Linked DNA regions of Drosophila melanogaster. Changing the gene in region 1 together with any one later gene gives a genetic interaction. Each region holds a gene or a part of one and is shown in the gene's direction. Other genes may lie near its edges. The genes, in order: Rheb, raptor, wnd and mTor.

What was found.
Region 2: of Rheb (region 1) and raptor, changing one suppresses a phenotype caused by changing the other (phenotypic suppression), as found in Drosophila melanogaster (one study listed by BioGRID).
Region 3: of Rheb (region 1) and wnd, changing one suppresses a phenotype caused by changing the other (phenotypic suppression), as found in Drosophila melanogaster (one study listed by BioGRID).
Region 4: of Rheb (region 1) and mTor, changing one suppresses a phenotype caused by changing the other (phenotypic suppression), as found in Drosophila melanogaster (2 studies listed by BioGRID).

Annotation. Positions count from the first base shown.
Region 1 is NT_033777.3:5,567,204-5,571,047, forward strand, and holds Rheb (Ras homolog enriched in brain), read left to right. Parts: upstream 1-1,717; 5' UTR 1,718-1,836; exon of another isoform or gene 1,837-2,002; 5' UTR 2,003-2,019; coding exon 2,020-2,068; intron 2,069-2,196; coding exon 2,197-2,268; intron 2,269-2,371; coding exon 2,372-2,579; intron 2,580-2,638; coding exon 2,639-2,768; intron 2,769-2,824; coding exon 2,825-2,914; 3' UTR 2,915-3,288; downstream 3,289-3,844. Other genes in the region: CG12746 (uncharacterized protein), read left to right, coding at 1-157; CG2931 (uncharacterized protein), read right to left, coding at 410-1,318. UniProt on the Drosophila melanogaster protein: Binds GTP and exhibits intrinsic GTPase activity. Activates the protein kinase activity of TORC1, and thereby plays a role in the regulation of apoptosis. Stimulates the phosphorylation of S6K through activation of TORC1 signaling.
Region 2 is NC_004354.4:6,087,184-6,092,167, reverse strand, and holds the start of raptor (raptor), read left to right. Parts: upstream 1-1,966; 5' UTR 1,967-2,461; coding exon 2,462-3,896; intron 3,897-3,954; coding exon 3,955-4,984. Other genes in the region: Mipp2 (multiple inositol polyphosphate phosphatase 2), read left to right, coding at 874-1,051, 1,326-1,759.
Region 3 is NT_037436.4:19,632,778-19,637,620, reverse strand, and holds the start of wnd (wallenda), read left to right. Parts: upstream 1-1,837; 5' UTR 1,838-2,190; exon of another isoform or gene 2,191-2,199; intron 2,200-3,157; 5' UTR 3,158-3,240; coding exon 3,241-3,389; intron 3,390-4,524; exon of another isoform or gene 4,525-4,843.
Region 4 is NT_033779.5:13,002,753-13,007,515, forward strand, and holds the start of mTor (mechanistic target of rapamycin), read left to right. Parts: upstream 1-1,727; 5' UTR 1,728-2,033; coding exon 2,034-2,259; intron 2,260-2,314; coding exon 2,315-2,535; intron 2,536-2,678; coding exon 2,679-3,245; intron 3,246-3,597; coding exon 3,598-4,334; intron 4,335-4,393; coding exon 4,394-4,763. Other genes in the region: Vha68-1 (vacuolar H[+] ATPase 68kD subunit 1), read right to left, coding at 1-568, 832-907. UniProt on the Drosophila melanogaster protein: Promotes cell and tissue growth, maintains tissue homeostatis and controls responses to environmental stress and aging. Regulates growth during animal development by coupling growth factor signaling to nutrient availability. Central regulators of autophagy.

The DNA of each region.
Region 1 (3,844 bases):
CATACCACTGGTCAGGTGGCCCAGCAGAGAGGGAAGCCAGTACCAGCGACTGTCTGGAAAGGACGACAATGGCAGTCGTGGTCCCCACCATCTCGATGGTGGGGATGCGGTGCGGAGACCTCTGCTCGCTGACAAGGAGGAGTCCAAATGGTACTAAAAGCTTTACGTAATATTATTGTGAGTGTTGCTTTCCCGTTTAAGGTTTTTAAACATATTAGACAATTTCTGATTTAAAAATGTGCTGCTGGTTTACCTCGTAATAGGATGGGTAGGGTTTGTTAATAAAAACTAAGCGCGTCAATTGCTAAACGTAAATTTATTGCTCATCTTTAGCAGCAACATCCAAATCTAATTTGCTACATCAAAGTGACCGAAACTAGCCTAAAGGACACGATATGCACACTCAGATTCAAGTCATGGAATTGAAGGCCTGCAGAAGCACCTGTTTTTCGCGCTCCTTTTTCTTAACTACGTCAAGACTGCGTTGTCGCCACGTGCTCTTGCGCAGTTTGATAGGCCGGCTGCCCACATAGCGGCCGTCCATCTCCTTCATGGCCCGTATAAAGTCGGCCGGTTCTCTGAAGCTCACGAAGCCAAATCCCTTGCTCTTGCCCGTGCGCTTGTCCCGCACCACACGGGCCCGCTGAAACGAGGGGAACTTGTTGAAGGTCCGGGTCAGGACCTCGTCGTTGACGTCGTTTCCCAAGTCACCACAAAAGATGCGGAAGTCATCGTCGGGCCAGTCAGCCAGCGAAGTATCCTCCCACACGGTGCCGCCAGCGATACGCACCGTCTTGCGGTCTTTCTTTTTCCGCTCTGTTGTCTGGAAGGATTGCAGCGCCGATGATGCGCGCGCTGCCTTAATGGCCTCCTCTGCAATGGGATTGGGTCCAGACTTTTCCGCCTTGAGCTTCTTCAGCTTCTGCGTTACGTCAAAAGAGACGGCGTTGATGTCGATGGAGGGCGCGGCGGCCACGGTGGGCACGTGCACAGACTGCCGGCACTGATAAAGTTTGGGGGCGCTGCTCAGGACTACGGGAGTGGCAGACATAGCCTTGGAAGAACCACCTCCACTGCCCGTAGGCACGAAGGTGGACATAAACGTGGGTGGAGGCGGCATCGGGGGCGGGGGTACGGTCAGACGCGATCCTCCATTGCCCTGGTGATGCTGCAGCTTGTGCTGCGAGTTTTGGTACGTATTGGCGGCTATGATCGGGCGCACCTGGTTGGGCACGAAGAGATTGCGGGCGGGGGGCTTCGAGATCTCCGCCTCGAAGCGTGAGAGCTCATCCTCGATGTTGCGACGCTTTGTACCCATTTGAAGTGGGGTTTTCTCTTTTAAAAAATCAAATCAAAGCAAGTTTTTACGAAAGTGCTGCAGAAAACTCGGAGTACTAAACAAATATCGATTTCGTTCCCAATCGATTGCACTATTTTTATTTTAAAGGCCTGTTTAGACATGTCCACAGAATCAGGCTCTATTTGCAATATATAACAAATAAAACAGTTATTTTAATATCATAAAACGAAGACATTTAATATGTTTTAACTATTTAAGAAAATAACTGCGACTTTTTACACTTGATTACGACAAGCACCTTTCCGAACGGGCCTTGATATTTTCTGCAATTGTTGACCGTTAAACTAGTAGACGATAGTGTAGTGTGACGGTTCCTCATTAGCTGGCAAATGCCTTATGTTAGTAGGCTAGGAGTGGTATTTCGGCTTCGTCGACACCAGCACTGATTCAACTTCAGAATTACTGTTTTCTTTTAGACGATCTGATAAATAATACTGGAATTAAAATCGCCGGAAAAGCTCTAGCTGTGATAGAAAGTATCCTCAGCAAGCAAAATAAACGCAGAAGCAATATTCCTCATACACACATTTAAAGAAGGAGCACGGGCATACCCACACAAGCGCACAAAAAGTCGAGGGGCGACAGCAAAAACAAAAGTGTGGAAAATCACAAAACCAATAAATTTCTCCATTTATTTCAAAGCACTGGGCCCCAGGAAAATGCCAACCAAGGAGCGCCACATAGCCATGATGGGCTACCGATCAGTGGGTGAGTTTTCCCAGAAAGTTCCGCCAGAAGCACTGACACTGTTGCTGCTGGCACTGGTAATTGCGTAGTATTTCGACAACAGCAAGAACTATGATCAATTGACCATAATAATTACGCTTCGCCCGCAGGCAAATCGTCGCTATGCATACAGTTCGTGGAGGGCCAGTTCGTGGACTCCTATGACCCCACCATTGAGAACAGTAAGTGTCACATCCCATTCCGTGCGGATTTCTTAGAAGCCAGGCTGACTCCATGCTTCGATAGCAGTAGCAATGCGTAATGATCGGTAATTCCCATTCGCAGCCTTCACCAAGATCGAGCGTGTAAAGTCGCAAGACTACATCGTAAAGCTCATCGACACGGCGGGCCAGGACGAGTACAGCATATTCCCGGTGCAGTACAGCATGGATTACCACGGCTACGTCCTGGTGTACTCGATAACCAGCCAAAAGTCTTTTGAGGTGGTGAAGATCATATACGAAAAACTGCTCGACGTAATGGGCAAGAAATAGTAGGCTTCTTCCCCGTGGGTTCCGCTTGAGAGCTAAGCTAATCTTTTTTGCCTTTCAGTGTACCTGTGGTGTTGGTCGGCAACAAGATCGATCTCCACCAGGAACGAACCGTTTCCACGGAGGAAGGCAAGAAGCTGGCCGAGTCCTGGCGAGCTGCATTTCTCGAAACGTCCGCCAAACAGAACGAGGCAAGTACCAAGACGAATCACACTAGCTGAATGCAACTAAGGTACTTCCTTCGCAGTCCGTGGGAGATATATTCCATCAGCTACTGATCCTCATCGAAAACGAGAACGGCAATCCCCAGGAGAAGAGCGGTTGTCTTGTATCGTAGGGCGGCTGAGTAGCTAAAACTACGGCCGAACTGTTGGAAATACGGCAAATCGCTATGGCAATACGAAAATCGATTATCTCTTATCTACACAGTTGGGTCAGCGTGCATGGCGGGGCCGTACCCTTTGTGCGCAGCAGGAAAATCTAAAAATCTAATAGACCTAGTATTCTTAAGACCACACAGCAAGTAACCAATATCAAGCGATCTGAATGCGTCCGCTAAACGCTGCCCAGCAGGTTTTGTGGTTCGCGTCTGGCGCAACACAACAGGTTTAAGTTAGTACGTTTTTTTTACAACAACAATTCAGTTACAAATTTCATATACAAATTCTGCAAACTTTTAGTTTCAATTTAAATATAATTTTTCAAAATACTATTCAAGATTGTATTTTAATGGTCAACATTTTCGATTGTGAAAAATATAGAGGTTGATTTACTAAAGTTACAAGTGCGTCGAGAAGACCTGCCAGTTGCAATTCCAAAAAGCTGGATTTACTTTATCTCGTCCCTATAACTGATTAAATAGGACCAATACCTTAATGATTTCTATAGATTCCCAACCGTTGTGAATTCTCTGGAGACCAAGGTTCAGCAAGTAAAAGAACTGGGAGGATCTCGGTATGGTTCTTAATAAGAGTAATTTCAAACCAAATTACTATTTGGATAAACTGAAAGACTCACCTGGCCACTCTAGCAATATCTGCATCTGTTAGCAAAAAAAGGGGTCTTTAAATTTTAATACCGCTATTTCTTATGTCACAATTGGTCGGACGAATTTGATTGAATTAAGATTTGGCTGGCTTAATATTTCTAAAGACTGATTATAGAAAAAAGACATAGAAATTATTTCGCATTAAACCGATTATGAATAAAAATATTTCTTGTCTTACTTATCTTAAATCTAAAATGCCGGCTAACAGAGCGTTGCGCG
Region 2 (4,984 bases), on another chromosome or scaffold:
CAAATCAAAGTTAGGCACTTCCAATGTTCCGGCTCCTGCTCCCATACATAAATTCCCAAATGGACAACTACTCCCAGCTACCGGTTACCTGGAACTTTAGTTTTGGCGCAAAACTTTTGGCATGTGCGTTTCAGCTATTCCTTTTTTCACTATTGACATTTGCGGATTGTGGCTCCTTGGGCGCCATATGGCAGCCAAAAAGCAACGAGGAGAACCTCGATAAGCACAAATTTTAACCGAAACTCTTAGGAACAAAAACTGAGTGACCACACGAAACGAATTCAGGGGTGTTAATTATTTATTGCAATTTTAAGTTGTGTGTAAGTTTCTCGTTTTATTCTTGGACAGGATATTCAAAATGCTTCCCTTGCCAACGCTTATTCCTTTTGCGTGTTTGGCGTGCGACTAAACCATTTTTTAATCGCTTAGTTTGCCGGGCCGGTTAAAACAGAGCTTTTTGAGGCAGAAAGCTCGATTGGGCGAAGTGAACACTTGTTGAGTGGCAATGCGCTGATTTAGGCACCTGCAAATCTAACTAAATTTATTATAAAATAGTGTTAATAAAGCTTCCTGAAATGAGTAATCAACCAAGCACTTACAACTGATGCCATCGAAGATGCTATTTAAAAATACCGCCAACTGGCGGTGGAAACGGGTTTTTTTTGGCTGCCCCATGTGTTAGGGCTGCCAGCTGAGCTGATAGCCTTGCCACCTTGCGCGACTAGCACACTTGTCAATTTGTTTTTCTTTCGTGTTTATTATTTCCTAGATTTCTTTTGAGCTGGCATTTCGTTCTGTTTTTCACGTTTTAACCCCGTTTTTCGGTAAACCTCGTTTCTAATCTCGTGACAAGTTTTTCCACCGCCCGGAAAGATGCTAAGCCAATTTTACTGCTTGTTTTTGTTGCTCCTCCACTTCTTCGTGGGCGTGACGTTGTCTGAAGAGGGGGAGTGCCGCCGCCTTAATCGCGCAGATATCGAGGGCAGACTGTCCACAAAGACGCCCTACAGAGCGATCGCAAATTATGACGAAACGCCACCGAAATACGCCGGTTTGTATTTTTGTTGTTTTCTGTGTAACGCACCCACAGTAGGCACCCGCTTAGAAATACAAACATGTGTTGTGCCATGTGACAGTTAACAGCGCTCGCTTAATACAGTGAATTCATAATCATGAAAGCATATGGATTCTTTATTGATCATAAAACAGAGAATCGCTTTAGATTTGTTATTATACTATTACTAGTTTATTATTACCGATGCCTACTGCTAGCAAATGGCAATGGAACAGCTGATTTTTCTCTTTTAACCGTTTCACCCGACAAGGCTGCCATCCGACGCGAATTTGGACCATCATCCGACACGGAACTAGAAATCCTAGCGAATCCGTTATCCTTCAGGCGCAAAATCGACTATCAGAGATAAAGAAACGCATTCTGGATCAGACGAAGCCGCCGATCTGCACCGCTGAATTGGAAAAGCTGCGCCAATGGCACTGGATGCATCTGAATGCCACTGAAGATGAGAAATTACTGGTGGCCGAGGGTGAGGATGAGCTGATTGAGCTGGCGGAACGGATGCAGCGGCGATTTCCGGATCTACTTCCGGAGTTGTACAATCCGGAGTGGTACTACTTCAAGTATACTGCGACCCAGAGAACGCTGAAAAGTGCGGAAAGCTTCGCTACGGGTTTGTTCGGCCGTCATCGCATCCATACTGTACGATATCCGCCGCCTTTGCACGAGGATCCTGTTTTGCGGGTGAGCAGTCCTTTAGTTTTTTCTGTCAATGTAACCAAAACAAACTTTTGAATTACGCGCTACAAATGAGCTTGTAATGATCTGGCAACGCCATTCATTACAGCTAGGCCATTTCGCTGTTAGTTTATTATCGATATCAATGTTGTAAACCGCTTGCCAGCGTGCAATCGAAAAAATCATCGATTTTTGTTCCAGCTCTATTTTCTGCGCAATTCTTTTCGTATAATATAATTCGATTAAACATAAATAAATAAACCCAAGCGAAAGTAAATAAACCTGTTAATGCGCACCATCTTCCGTCGGAGATCGCTCGCTATAGTTGTACGGTTTTTATTTTGTCCCGGCATCGACCTAATCAGCCCAGGCGGCGTGTTTTCCCCGAGTTCTTTTTACCCGTTTTCGGGAAATGGTCCGCGATCCGTAGGCGGAAAACGTGGAGAAGAGGAACGTGGAAAGAAAAGCAGAAAAGCGCGGAGCGGAGCTGAGGAGGCGCTGGCGGTGGTGGAGGTGCGGAAAGTGCGAAAAGTGTTTGGGGTTATGTGCTAGAGTCCCCTCGGGGGGATTTTTAGCTGATTGAATCCGCGACCGAGACGTAATCGCTCCGGGAAATCGCTCGCATTGAGCTGCACCCTCTCCTCGGCAAACGGAAAAAGAAAAAAAGCAATACAGCGAGAAACGAGAGAAACAAAAAGCACGCAGAACATGACAAGTGCCGTTCGCGCTAAGTCCGCCGCTGCCGCAGTCGGCGTCGCAGTCGACGAAAGCAGCGGCAGCAGCAACGGCAGCGTCGCGGATCAAGAGGTGGCCTCCAGCAAGGAGGCCGTCCTGAGCGTCCTAATCCGCAAGAGATACGAGAAATATGTATTCGCCCCGTGGGACGATCCGATAATCTTGATAATGGAGCAACTGGAGCACATCGAGCACTGTCGATCCGCCGCCTTGGGGAACCAGGTGGCCATCGGCCGGGACCCATCTCAGGACGACTCTCTGAACGACCTGGGTAAGGTGATTAGCAACATGAGGCAGGACCAATCACTGGTACCAATCGTGAAGCACATCGAGCAAATATCCGACATTCAGGCCTCCAACGGCCAGGAACTGGCCTCCCTCGGTTCTTTGAGGGAGCTAATCCGGACTATCAGAAAGGAATGGCCCCGGGACGACTCTATCAAACTGCGGTTGAAGGAAATACAGATCCTGGGCATGCCGCCCGCTCGGAGCTTATGCTTCGGCGAGCGTATCCGCGACGACAGGTGCCCGCTCTCCCTGCAGACTAAAAGGCACAAGGAGCGCATCCAGGCCATGATGTACGAGAGACAGCCGTGGCGCATCCGCGAGCGCATGAAGACGGCAAGTGTGGCCCTGGTTCTGTGCCTCAACATCGGCGTGGATCCGCCGGACGTGGTCAAGATCCAACCCTGCTCACGGCTAGAGTGCTGGATAGATCCCAGCTCGGTGTCCCCGCCAAAGGCCATGGAACTCATTGGAAGCAACCTGCAGATGCAGTACGAACGCTGGCAGCCAAGGGCCCGGTACAAGAAGTGCAACGATCCCACCGTGGATGACGTTAAGAAGCTCTGCACCTCCCTACGCCGGAACGCCAAGGGGGAGCGCATACTCTTCCACTACAACGGACACGGAGTGCCCAAGCCCACAGCCAACGGGGAGATCTGGGTGTTCAACAAGACCTTCACGCAGTACATCCCCCTGAGCATATTCGAGCTTATCACTTGGATGTCAGCGCCCTCCATCTACGTGTATGACTGCTCCAACGCCGGGATCATCATCAATTCGTTTCAGCCATACGCTAAACAGCACGAGGAAGAACTAGGGAAGGCGCTGGCCGCCGCCCAGCAGAGGGGTGGTGTCCAACAGTTAGTGGGCGGCTCTGGTGGTGCCGCCAACGTAGCCGCCAACCAGGTGCAGTTAACCAACCAGATGGTCAGTTACAAGAACTGTATACACCTGGCTGCCTGTGCTGCAAACGAGATTCTTCCGATGAATGCACAGCTGCCGGCGGATCTTTTCACCAGCTGTCTGACAACACCCATTAACATAGCGCTCAAGTGGTACGCCATGCAAGAAAAGCTGGGCATGGTACCGCGTATTCAGAGCGAACTGATCGACAAGATTCCAGGTAAGGTTATACCTTTACTCACCCAGGGAATGCTGTTAACCATTAAATTCTATCGCAGGCAAGGTCAACGACCGGCGCACTATGATGGGTGAGCTTAACTGGATCTTCACCGCCATTACGGACACGATAGCATGGAACACACTTCCTCGCGAGCTCTTTCAGCGCCTGTTTCGCCAGGATCTGCTGGTGGCCAGCTTGTTCCGCAATTTCCTGTTGGCCGAGCGCATTCTGCGAAGCCACGACTGCACACCAGTTTCCCTGCCTGCCCTGCCGCCTTGTTATCGCCATCCGATGTGGAAGGCCTGGGATCTGGTGGTAGATTTGGCTCTACAGCAGCTGCCGGAGATTCTCGATCACAATGCGCCGTACCGCCAGCTGCCATTCTTCGAGCACCAGCTCACGGCCTTCCAGGTTTGGCTGGACAGCGAATCGGAGTCGAGAACGCCACCGGAACAGCTGCCCATTGTGCTGCAGGTCCTACTGTCGCAGGTGCACCGTCTGAGGGCCTTGGAGCTGCTGGCTCGCTTTCTGGATCTTGGTCCGTGGGCCGTTAATCTCGCCCTGGGCGTGGGCATCTTTCCATACGTGCTTAAACTGCTGCAGAGTTCTACGCGCGAACTGCGACCCGTTTTGGTGTTCATTTGGGCCAAGATCCTGGCCGTGGATCCCAGCTGCCAGGTGGATCTGGTCAAGGAATACAAGTACTTCCTCTCCGTGCTGCAGGACACCTCCGTTTCCAAGGAGCACCGTACACTGTCCGCCTTTGTATTGTCCTCCATAGTGCACAACTTCCTGCTGGGACAGACGAGCGCGCTTCAAGGTCCCCTACTGTCTATTTGCCTTGAGCAGTTGAACGACGGAAGTTGGCTGCTGCGCCAGTGGCTAGCCATCTGTCTGGGCATGCTGTGGCAGAACTTTGAGAAGGCGCGTTGGTCGGGAGCACGCGACCTGGCGCACGAGAAGCTGTACGTACTGCTGCGGGACTCGATACCGGAAGTGAGAGCCGCTGCCGTCTTCGCCTTAGGCACATTTATTAGCTCCGTGACGGATCGTAGCGAGGAACAGGCCAATAATATCGATCGCATCAT
Region 3 (4,843 bases), on another chromosome or scaffold:
AAAAAAATAACTTTCCTAACAAATAGATATTAAACAAAATGATTCATTATTTTGAAGCACAAAAGAAAGAGATATTCCAATCTTCCATTGATACACTATTATTGTTCTCACAACAATACCAACAAGATCCTTATCTCAATGATCCTCAACTACCCTTAACTTAGACTTGTTAAAGGCAATTCTTGTGTTGAGATCATATACCCCCTCCCCCTCGCAAGTGGCACTGATTGACGGGCATGGAACCTGCACCCTGGACATGGAACTGGAACCCTGGGAGATACTGGCCCTCGGTGTCCCTCAAATGCGTGAAACCCTATGACTCATGCGCAATGGACCAAAAGAAAACGCCTGAGCCGCACGCAGGCAGCATAACAATTTATTGGTCAGAACATACAAGAAAAGGTATTTGTTGATAACGTGGAAGGGGGGAGGTGGCTCTAAGAAGGGAAAAGTGGATTGTGTGATTGGTAAGGATACACCGCGACAAAAAGATCTTATATACTTATGGCGTTATGCTGTTATCATGGGTGATAAAGGTAATATTTTTATACATATGTACGTAACATAATAATAAGTTGTTAATTTCGAAATATTTCGTGTATAGAATAATGCTTTTCCAATTCATAGTAGAGACATTTATTATGAATATTATATGCTATGGAAATTCTAAGTATGTAAATATACAATTGATCGCTGAATATATGCTATGGAAATTCTAACTATGTAAATATACAATTGATCGCTGAATTCGCTAAGTATTTTCCACGATGTAGAAAAGCCCCCACCCACTAACATGTTCTCCAAAGAGATCAGTCCTCTGTGGGTATGAGTCATCTTTGTTTATGTAGAAATTATGCTACCTGCTGCACTATGTTATTTTCATTTTCGTGCTCTACCTGTTGTGCGAAAGCGGAGGAGCAGGGGTATGGGATTCGACACAAATCCGGAGACACCGTTTTCACAGCTCTGCTCTTGTATAGCAATTCTTTGATGACGTGCCGAGTTTAACTACATACCCAGCTTATGACGTACAGACTGATAAGCTGATAGGTTGTTTACGCAAGCGAATTGCATTTAAGAACAATTTAAAGTTTAATTTTTATATGTATGTATGTTTGTTTGTGTATAAAGCGAAAAAGTATTAAGATCATACTTTAAGTAACTTAGCTCATGCTTTTATAACATATATTGATAAAACAAAATCAAAATACATACATACATTCTTTTTAAGAGTATCACTAAGTTTTTGACTTTCCTTAAATAGATATACATACATACATATCTAGTTATTTATTTCATTTATTAAGAAGCTGACTTTTAAATAAAATTAATACCCACATTTAGTATAAAAAACTGTCTAATAATAAATTTTTCTACTTTCAGATGTTCTTTCAAAATTTTAGATCAAAGTTTCCAAAAGTTGCTAATAGTATTCTTAAATTTAGTACTTAATATTCGAAAGAGAAAATAAAAATAGAAATGAAAAAGAGTGTGGTAAAAGCGAGGTTTTAGATATTCAACGACACACAAATGTGTACATCTAATTTCATTGATTTGAATTATTTAATTTATTTATTTTTGACTTCATTATCTTTTTAAGCATTATTTTGCTAAAAGCTCAGAAGCAGCTGCCATGAGCGCTTTTAGGCACTGAACACGATCGTGCACGTCGCTGACGAGAGCTTTATTAAACTTTTAAGCCAGATCCAGTTTCATTGGCACTATCAAGTAGAGTGTGGTGAGCAAAAGAAAAACGGGGATAATCGGAGAGGCGACAGCAACAACAACGACCCAGTGCCTTGGCAGTTGATGTCTGTTTGTGGTTGGCCATCCCGCGCAGTCGCGTTCTCCCGCACACTTGCGCAGTGAACACAACCTGCGCTCCAAACTGGTTTTGGTGGAGGAAATCCGCAAGAGAGAGCGCTAGAGAGCGGATTGGAACTCGGTTTCGGCCAAAGCCAAAGCAGAGCCAGCAGCCAGTTTTTGCTTTTTAGTCGATTTGTATCTACCTTTGGTGCGGACGGTTGGTCGGAATAAACGCGTTTCGCAGCGGAACTCCAAGAAGAGCAGAAAACCAGTCTTTAATTGTTCCATTTCAAGCTGAAATCAAATAAAAGTTCTTCGCCAATGGCTGAATAAAGTACGAATCAATGCAATCACTACGATTCGCAGTGGAAAATTGCTGGAAAAGTGAGCAAAGTGTGTGAAAAATGTGCAAATACAAGAATTTTTATATTGATTTTCTTGGCCAAAAGAGCGAACGAGCGAGCAAAAGGCAGCAGCAGAGGAAGAAGAAGAAGCAGCAACAGCACAAAGCTGCGCTGTAAGGCTTCCGTCGTTGGTGCGAGCAAGAGGGGAGGGCCCTACTGGGTGGGTGTGAACGAGACAGCAATAGCGAGAAATGTACTCTGGTGTGTGTGTGGGAACATTTATGTTTGTTGTTTTTGTTATGTTCTAGCTTTGGCCAAGTTAAATTAAAAAAAAAAAGAACAACAAGAAGTGGAGTTGTACACAGGAAAAAATGATATCAAGTGCCTTTTCTTCTAATATATGTTTATCTTTTGAAAAGCAAAAGATATTATTCAAATGAGAAAAAAAATAATCATAAAGTAATATTATTTGGCGAATTATATTTTTTTTTTAACAGAAAAAGATTCTGTACTATATCTCAAAAATAATTGGAAAAGCATCTAACTTACAAAAATGGGATACAATATATAAATACATTTTTTGATATCTACTTTTTTTTTCTGTGTACAAATAAAAAGAATACCTGTATGTGAGCTTGTGTGTGCGCCTATTCTTTTGTGCAATTCGCCTTTTAAAGGCATCATAAAAATAGCTCAGCCTGCAGTTTGAAAGTGAAAGAAAACCACATTTAAGCGGAATGCAAAGTGAATTGGCAGCAAGTGCAATAATCGACCCTTCTTCTTCCCGTGTTTGTGTGTTTAAATAGCTTTTTTTGCGTGGGTGCTATTGCTGTCTCGCTCCCGCTCCTGCTCGCATATCCTTTTGCCCTTTGCCGTTTGACGTCGTTTGCTTCTTATTGATTTTCGTCATTCATTGATAAGAGGTTGCGAACGAATGTGCGCGTGTGTGTGTCTGAAAAGGAAATCCCCAGCCAAAAAATACTAATGTTCGTGGTATCTCCATATAGCAACCGCTTTATTGACCAGAATGTCGTAAGGATCGATCATAGAGCCACCAATACACATACCCAAACCACACCAATCCTGGACAATGCAACCGTTCAGCGACAGTCTGAGCAAAAGTCGCGATGATCTGGTCACCGCCGCCTCCCGGCAACAACAACAGCTACACGGACGGAGGCGACACCACGGCAGCAGCCCCAACTTGTCGCTCGATCAGACCGACAATCTGCGAAGGAGGTGAGCATTATTATTATTAGACATTATGGTCGTGATGGCTAAGACAAAAACCTAAAAGTTTTAGAACGATTTTTGTTTGAGTTGATTATAGAAAAGTTGTTGGACATTTAGAAACTTTATTTAAAGAGTAATCACATAATTGATTAAATCTTAAAAAAAAAACTAAAAAGCAACCTCGAGCATAAAAACCCCAAAAAATAAATACTTTCAGCCATTAAAAACTCGTCGTGTTTAAGTAAAAGAAACAAAATCGGCTTGAAATTTTAATTAATATTTCAAGAATATGCCGCCGAATCGTGCTTAATTAAGCGGGGTAATCGACCTTCACTGTATACAAGTTTTTATGTAATTCGCAAGCAACTGAATACTCGAAAGTATTTAGCAGGTTAAACGATCGTTTAAAAATTTAAAAAGCCACAAAAATCTTGAACTGAGTAACAATAAAAAATTCAACTTTATCCGATAGATACAGGATTCTATTTCCCAAATAGGAGGCGTCAGCTTTATTTTCCTAGTTCCTAGTCTCACTAAGTAAATAGAAATCATTAGAAAGCACGTGCAAACCAAAAAAGCTTGTTGTGAAATAATAAAAAGTTATCACAGTAGATATTAAAAGAGCATAATAATGACAACAAAGAAGACAGACATACAGACATCTACTAAAACACTGCAAAACAACAGTGTTAACAGATAAGCAGATAAAAGGGGTTTCATTATTTAAATAGCGAAATACTAGTATTTAATAATTTTTTGTAATTGTGATTGATTATAATATTACTAAGGAGAGCACTCGATTTTCAGGAGTAGAGATAACAAGCACACGGAAATGTCTTCATAGGCAGTATCCACTGTAAAAAAAATTGGGCGATACAATTTGCAGGGGGGCGCAGCCAAAAACTTCCTATTCGCACACTTACATCCACAGCACGACCACCTGTATCTGTATTTGTGTGGATGTGTGTGAGATTTGATCATGTGTTCCCCACCATGAAAACTGGTTTTAAGTGTGACCAGATGGCAGCCTGGCCTGGGGAGACCTCGAGATGGTTGGCCAGTCGATACAGGCGCTGGGGAATGCGGTCAGTCTGACAACAACAACGCCGGATGATAACAGCAGATGAGAGCGGAGCGGGAGAGAGAGCTCCATCCGAACTGATACTGATAATGTGGAGCTAGACCGTTATGCTCACGCTGCGAGTCGCGATTTAGTTGGCGAAAATCAATCGCTTCTGGTGGTCGCTCTTTGCGCTTGAAATTCGCAAGCCTGCCTTAATTTGCGTCCGTGTGTTTGTGCGACAACAAAAACAAAAGCGAGCTTATCGCCAAATCAGTTTGCAGCCGTTGTCTGTGTGTTGGTGTGACGCAGTTGTGCGAAATACGTGAAATTATTGCATTTTTCCCCCCCAAACCCAACCAATAAGCAACAGTCTTGAAAAACCGCCAACGAAAGTGTT
Region 4 (4,763 bases), on another chromosome or scaffold:
GTGACGGGACGTGGCTGCCGCACTGGCCAGACCTGCAACATGGTGTGCTTGGTTATCTCGCCGTCGAACTCCGTCTCCAGGACAATGTCCTCCAGGTTGTAGTTGCCCGCGGGGGCAATGTATCGAACGGTTCCCTTAGCCCTGGGTGCCACAATCATGCGCTGCTTCACCAGCGTGTTCTCGTGTACCACTCCATACAGATCTCCTCCGGTGATGTGGGATCCCACCCGCACATTCAGCGGATTAAATTCCCACATCTCCGAGCGCGACAAAGCAGTTGTGTTGACACCTTTGGGTATATAGATGGAGTTGGTCATGACACCAATGTCCCGCAAAGGACGTTGGATGCCGTCGAAGATGCTGCCCATAATGCCGGGTCCAAGTTCCACGGAAAGAGGTTTGCCGGTACGCAGCACCGGATCGCCGACAGTCACGCCAGAGGTCTCCTCGTACACCTGGATGGTGGCCATGTCGCCCTCCAGACGGATGATCTCGCCCACCAGCTCGTAGTAGCCGACGCGGACCAACTCGTACATAGCTGATCCAGACATGGCCTCAGCGGTGACCACTGAAGTGGATTTAAAGTTGTTGAAGGAGGAAAAGCAGGAGAAATATGATTAGCAAGGAGTGGAGAGAGCAGCATAATGAGGAAGATTATGCGGAACAGGAGGAGGGGGAAGAAAGCATACAGAAATATGAAAAGGAGAAGGATAATAAGGAAGGATAAAAAGGAAGATGTGGAGGAGTATAATTAAGAACAGAAGAAAGGCAGGATTAAGGATTACAGAACTTGGGGGTCAGCGCATGAAGGACGCTGGTGACGTCGCTTACCTGGTCCGGATACCGCGTAGACACGGCCATATTCCGACTCGCGCTCCTCGTCTTTGAATTTCCTCAAGTTGGACATGGTCGCGGTTGCTGCTCTTCTTCTTCTGCTTCGGTAACGGTCAAATCGTTCGTTGGCTGTGGGAAAAAGTAACCGTTTTTCTTATAAACAAAAACACGCATTTTCCATGCCCCCGAATGAGAGAGCGTTTTCCGCGAGGAAACGCATAGGTGGCGCTGATGTGCAGCAGCAGCCCCCAGTGAAAAGCTTCACACCCCCGCAGCACAGCATCGATTTTCCAATACAATTTTCACACATGCCACCAACGGCAAGGTGAATTTTCCACCTTTTACCCATCACAAAAGCAATTTTCACACTTTCTTTTCATTCAACACCTTGTGGTCAGTGGTTTTGTGGCGTAAAAACTGCTTTTTCAGCTGCTCTAAAATTAAATAAGCTCACATTTGTTTCAACAGCTCTTATGAAAATTCTCTTGCTTTTTTGATTTCACTCTAGTATTGATCTATCGGTTATCGTCGAGGGCTCCAGGTTCTCTATAGAGATGGGCTCACATCAAACTCACGCACGTCACGATACATTAATAGTCGGATTCCACTAGCACATTCCGCAGTTAAATCTTGAAATACTTGTTGGTAATTATTAAAAATTTAACATAAGCTTGCATTTTTGTGCTATTTTCCAAATTCTTCAATGCAACTTGTTCACTCCAGTAATATAAATGTTTTGTACCACAACTTTAAGCCAATTTCTTTTTAATTGCTTATAATAAAGAACAAATTTATTAATTACTTTATTATTTTTATTTAATATGTTCTCTAACATTTTAAATGCTTATAAGTCGCCGCCAAGTACAGAAGTATCAGCAAGAAAATATCGATTGTAAATTGATCGAATTCTGTTTTACATCACTAATCGGCAGCGGCTGCAATAAATTTCCGTAAAAACCGAAGTAATCCGCAATTAAAGAAAGCAAAGGACCTGCATCCGTGTGAGATCGTTCGGCACCGGTGCCGGCACATGAAATCCTATCGAGTGACCAGTGGAACAGTGCGTACAGCGCCCCGGGGCAACTGAAAAGATAACCTCCAAAGTCCGTAGACAGCAGGCAGATGCACCTGCTCCACCCTTTCCCCTCCCAAATGCAAGTGAAAATCGCGTTTAAATAGTGAATAAACCCTGCCCAGCCATGTCGACGACGTCGGTGGTGCAGCAGTTCGTCAACGGGCTTAAGTCCCGCAACCGGAATGTACAGAACAAGGCAACCCAGGATCTGCTCTTCTATGTGAAGACCGAGCTACGCGAAATGTCCCAGGAGGAGCTGGCCCAATTTTTCGACGAGTTCGACCATCACATTTTCACGATGGTGAATGCGACAGATATCAACGAGAAAAAAGGCGGTGCCCTGGCCATGAGTGAGTTCCTGGCTCCCCGGCAGTGCTTGAGAGGATTTAACGTCTTCCCTTTCAGAGTGCCTGATTAACTGCGAGGGCAGTCTTACTGCCAGGAAGGGCATTTCGCCCTATCTCAACCGCCTGCGCGATCTTCTGCTAATCAACGATGTGTCCGTCATGGAGATTGCCGCCCGCTCCCTGGTCAAATTGGCCAACATGCCCACCTCCAAGGGCGCCGATTCCTTCGACTTTGATATTAAGAAGGCTTTTGAGGTGCTCAGAGGCGAGAGACAAGAGGTGAATTATAAGGGAAACCTACAAATTAAGCTTTTAAGTCTGATTTTGAGATGAAGATGGAAAAACTTTATAATGAAAATGAAAATAGTAGTTGTAAGCATGGCTAGAGTTATCCAAATTCATTTATATATTATTTTTTTCAGTACCGCCGCCATTCAGCCGTCTTTATCCTCCGTGAGCTGGCTATCGCCTTGCCCACATACTTCTACCAGCACATCCTGACCTTCTTCGAGGTTATCTTTAACGCCATCTTCGATCCCAAACCTGCTATACGAGAGTCAGCTGGCGAGGCTTTGAGGGCGGCTTTGATTGTCACCGCTCAGCGAGAGAGCACCAAGCAGTCCAGTGAACCACAGTGGTACAGAATCTGCTATGACGAGGCGAATGGAAGCTTCAATGCAGACTTGGGCTCTAGCAAGGATCAGAAAGGCGTGACCCGAGACGATCGCATTCACGGTGGCCTCGTCGTCTTCAACGAGCTCTTTCGCTGTGCCAATGCCACCTGGGAGCGGCGCTACACGTCTCTGAAGACGCTGTTCCCCAAGACCCAACACAATAAGTTCCTGGAGGCCAGCAGTTCGTCGAGTATGGGTTCCCAGCTGAATACTCTAGTGCCGCGGCTAAAGGTGCCCTTCATTGACAAGCTCGGCAGCACCCAAACGCATTTGGGTGAGGGAGAGCATCACAAAGGAGTTGCCAAGTTCGCGAGCGTGAGTCTAACGATCAAATACCTCCACACACGAATGTATTTGTCATTTTCATTTATTTACCTTTTGGTTTACGTAGTATGTACTTTACATGTATCTAAAAACCAAGCGATGCCTGACGGGAGGAAATCAGCTGACCTAATTATAGTTTAAAAATTGTGTAAAATGTAGCAGTAGAGTGTGATTCGTTACCAGTAGTAATTGTGGGGCGGCAATCATTTAGACAAGCATGTTTGTATTAAAATAGTATATTTTCCATTTGTTCATTACAAAAAAGATATTTTAATGTTTGTTAATTTAAAATACAAACTATTTAGTTATGTTTAAGCAAGTAACTAATAATATCGACATCCAGCAGCACAACGTACTGGAGTCCGCATATGCTCAGGAGATCCTTCAGGAGCACTACACCTCCATTTGCGACAATGTTTTGGAGCAGCGAACTTCGAAGTCTCCGTATGTACAGCAGGCACTCCTTCAAATACTTCCTCGATTGGCTGCCTTTAACCGCGCGGTGTTTGTGGAAAAATACCTGCAGACATGCGTGTCGCATTTAATGCAGATCCTGCGAGGCAAGGAGAAGGATCGCACGGTGGCGTACATAACCATTGGTTACATGGCTGTAGCGGTGCAGAGTGCGATCGAAGTTCATTTATCCAGTATAATGACTAGCGTGAAGGTCGCCTTGCCGTCAAAGGATTTGACCAGCAAACGAAAGGTACCAGTGGATCCTGCGGTCTTTGCCTGCATAACGCTTCTTGCTCATGCCGTTAAGTCGGAGATCGCCGACGATGTTAAGGATATCCTTGAGCAGATGTTCTACACGGGTCTCTCGCCAGCTCTGACTGTTTGCCTGAGGGAACTCTCCGAGAATGTGCCGCAGCTTAAGTCGGCCATTACAGAAGGATTGATCGGAATCCTATCCCAGGTGCTGATGAACAAGGCGGCAATTTTACCATACACTGCTTTGCCAACGATCGCCATCGATGGCTCGCTAATGCAGAATGGTGACGGAGCAACCACAGTGCTGGCACTCAAAACGCTGGGTACCTTCAACTTTGAGGAGCAAAACATGCTGGACTTTGTGCAACGGTAATTTAATTTAATTTACTATATTTTAGTTATATTACAAGGTTTGATTTCTTTTTCAGATGTGCTGACTACTTCATCGTTCACGAGCAGCAGGAGATTCGTCTGGAGGCAGTGCAAACATGCACACGACTCCTTAAACTGGCAGTGCAATCCTCTGAAAGTATGGAGAACTCCAAGACCCTCAGCGACACCGTTTCCCACGTGATTGAGCGCCTGCTTATGGTAGCCATTACTGATATGGACTGTAATGTGCGAATACGAATTCTACGTTCGCTGGACGAGACCTTTGATGGGAAGCTTGCTCAGCCAGAGTCTCTAAATTCGCTATTTATTACGCTGCACGATGAAATCTTTGAGATCCGGGAGCTGGCAATGGTTACCATTGGAAGATTGTCGTCCATAAACCCGGCTTATGTGATGCCCAAGCTA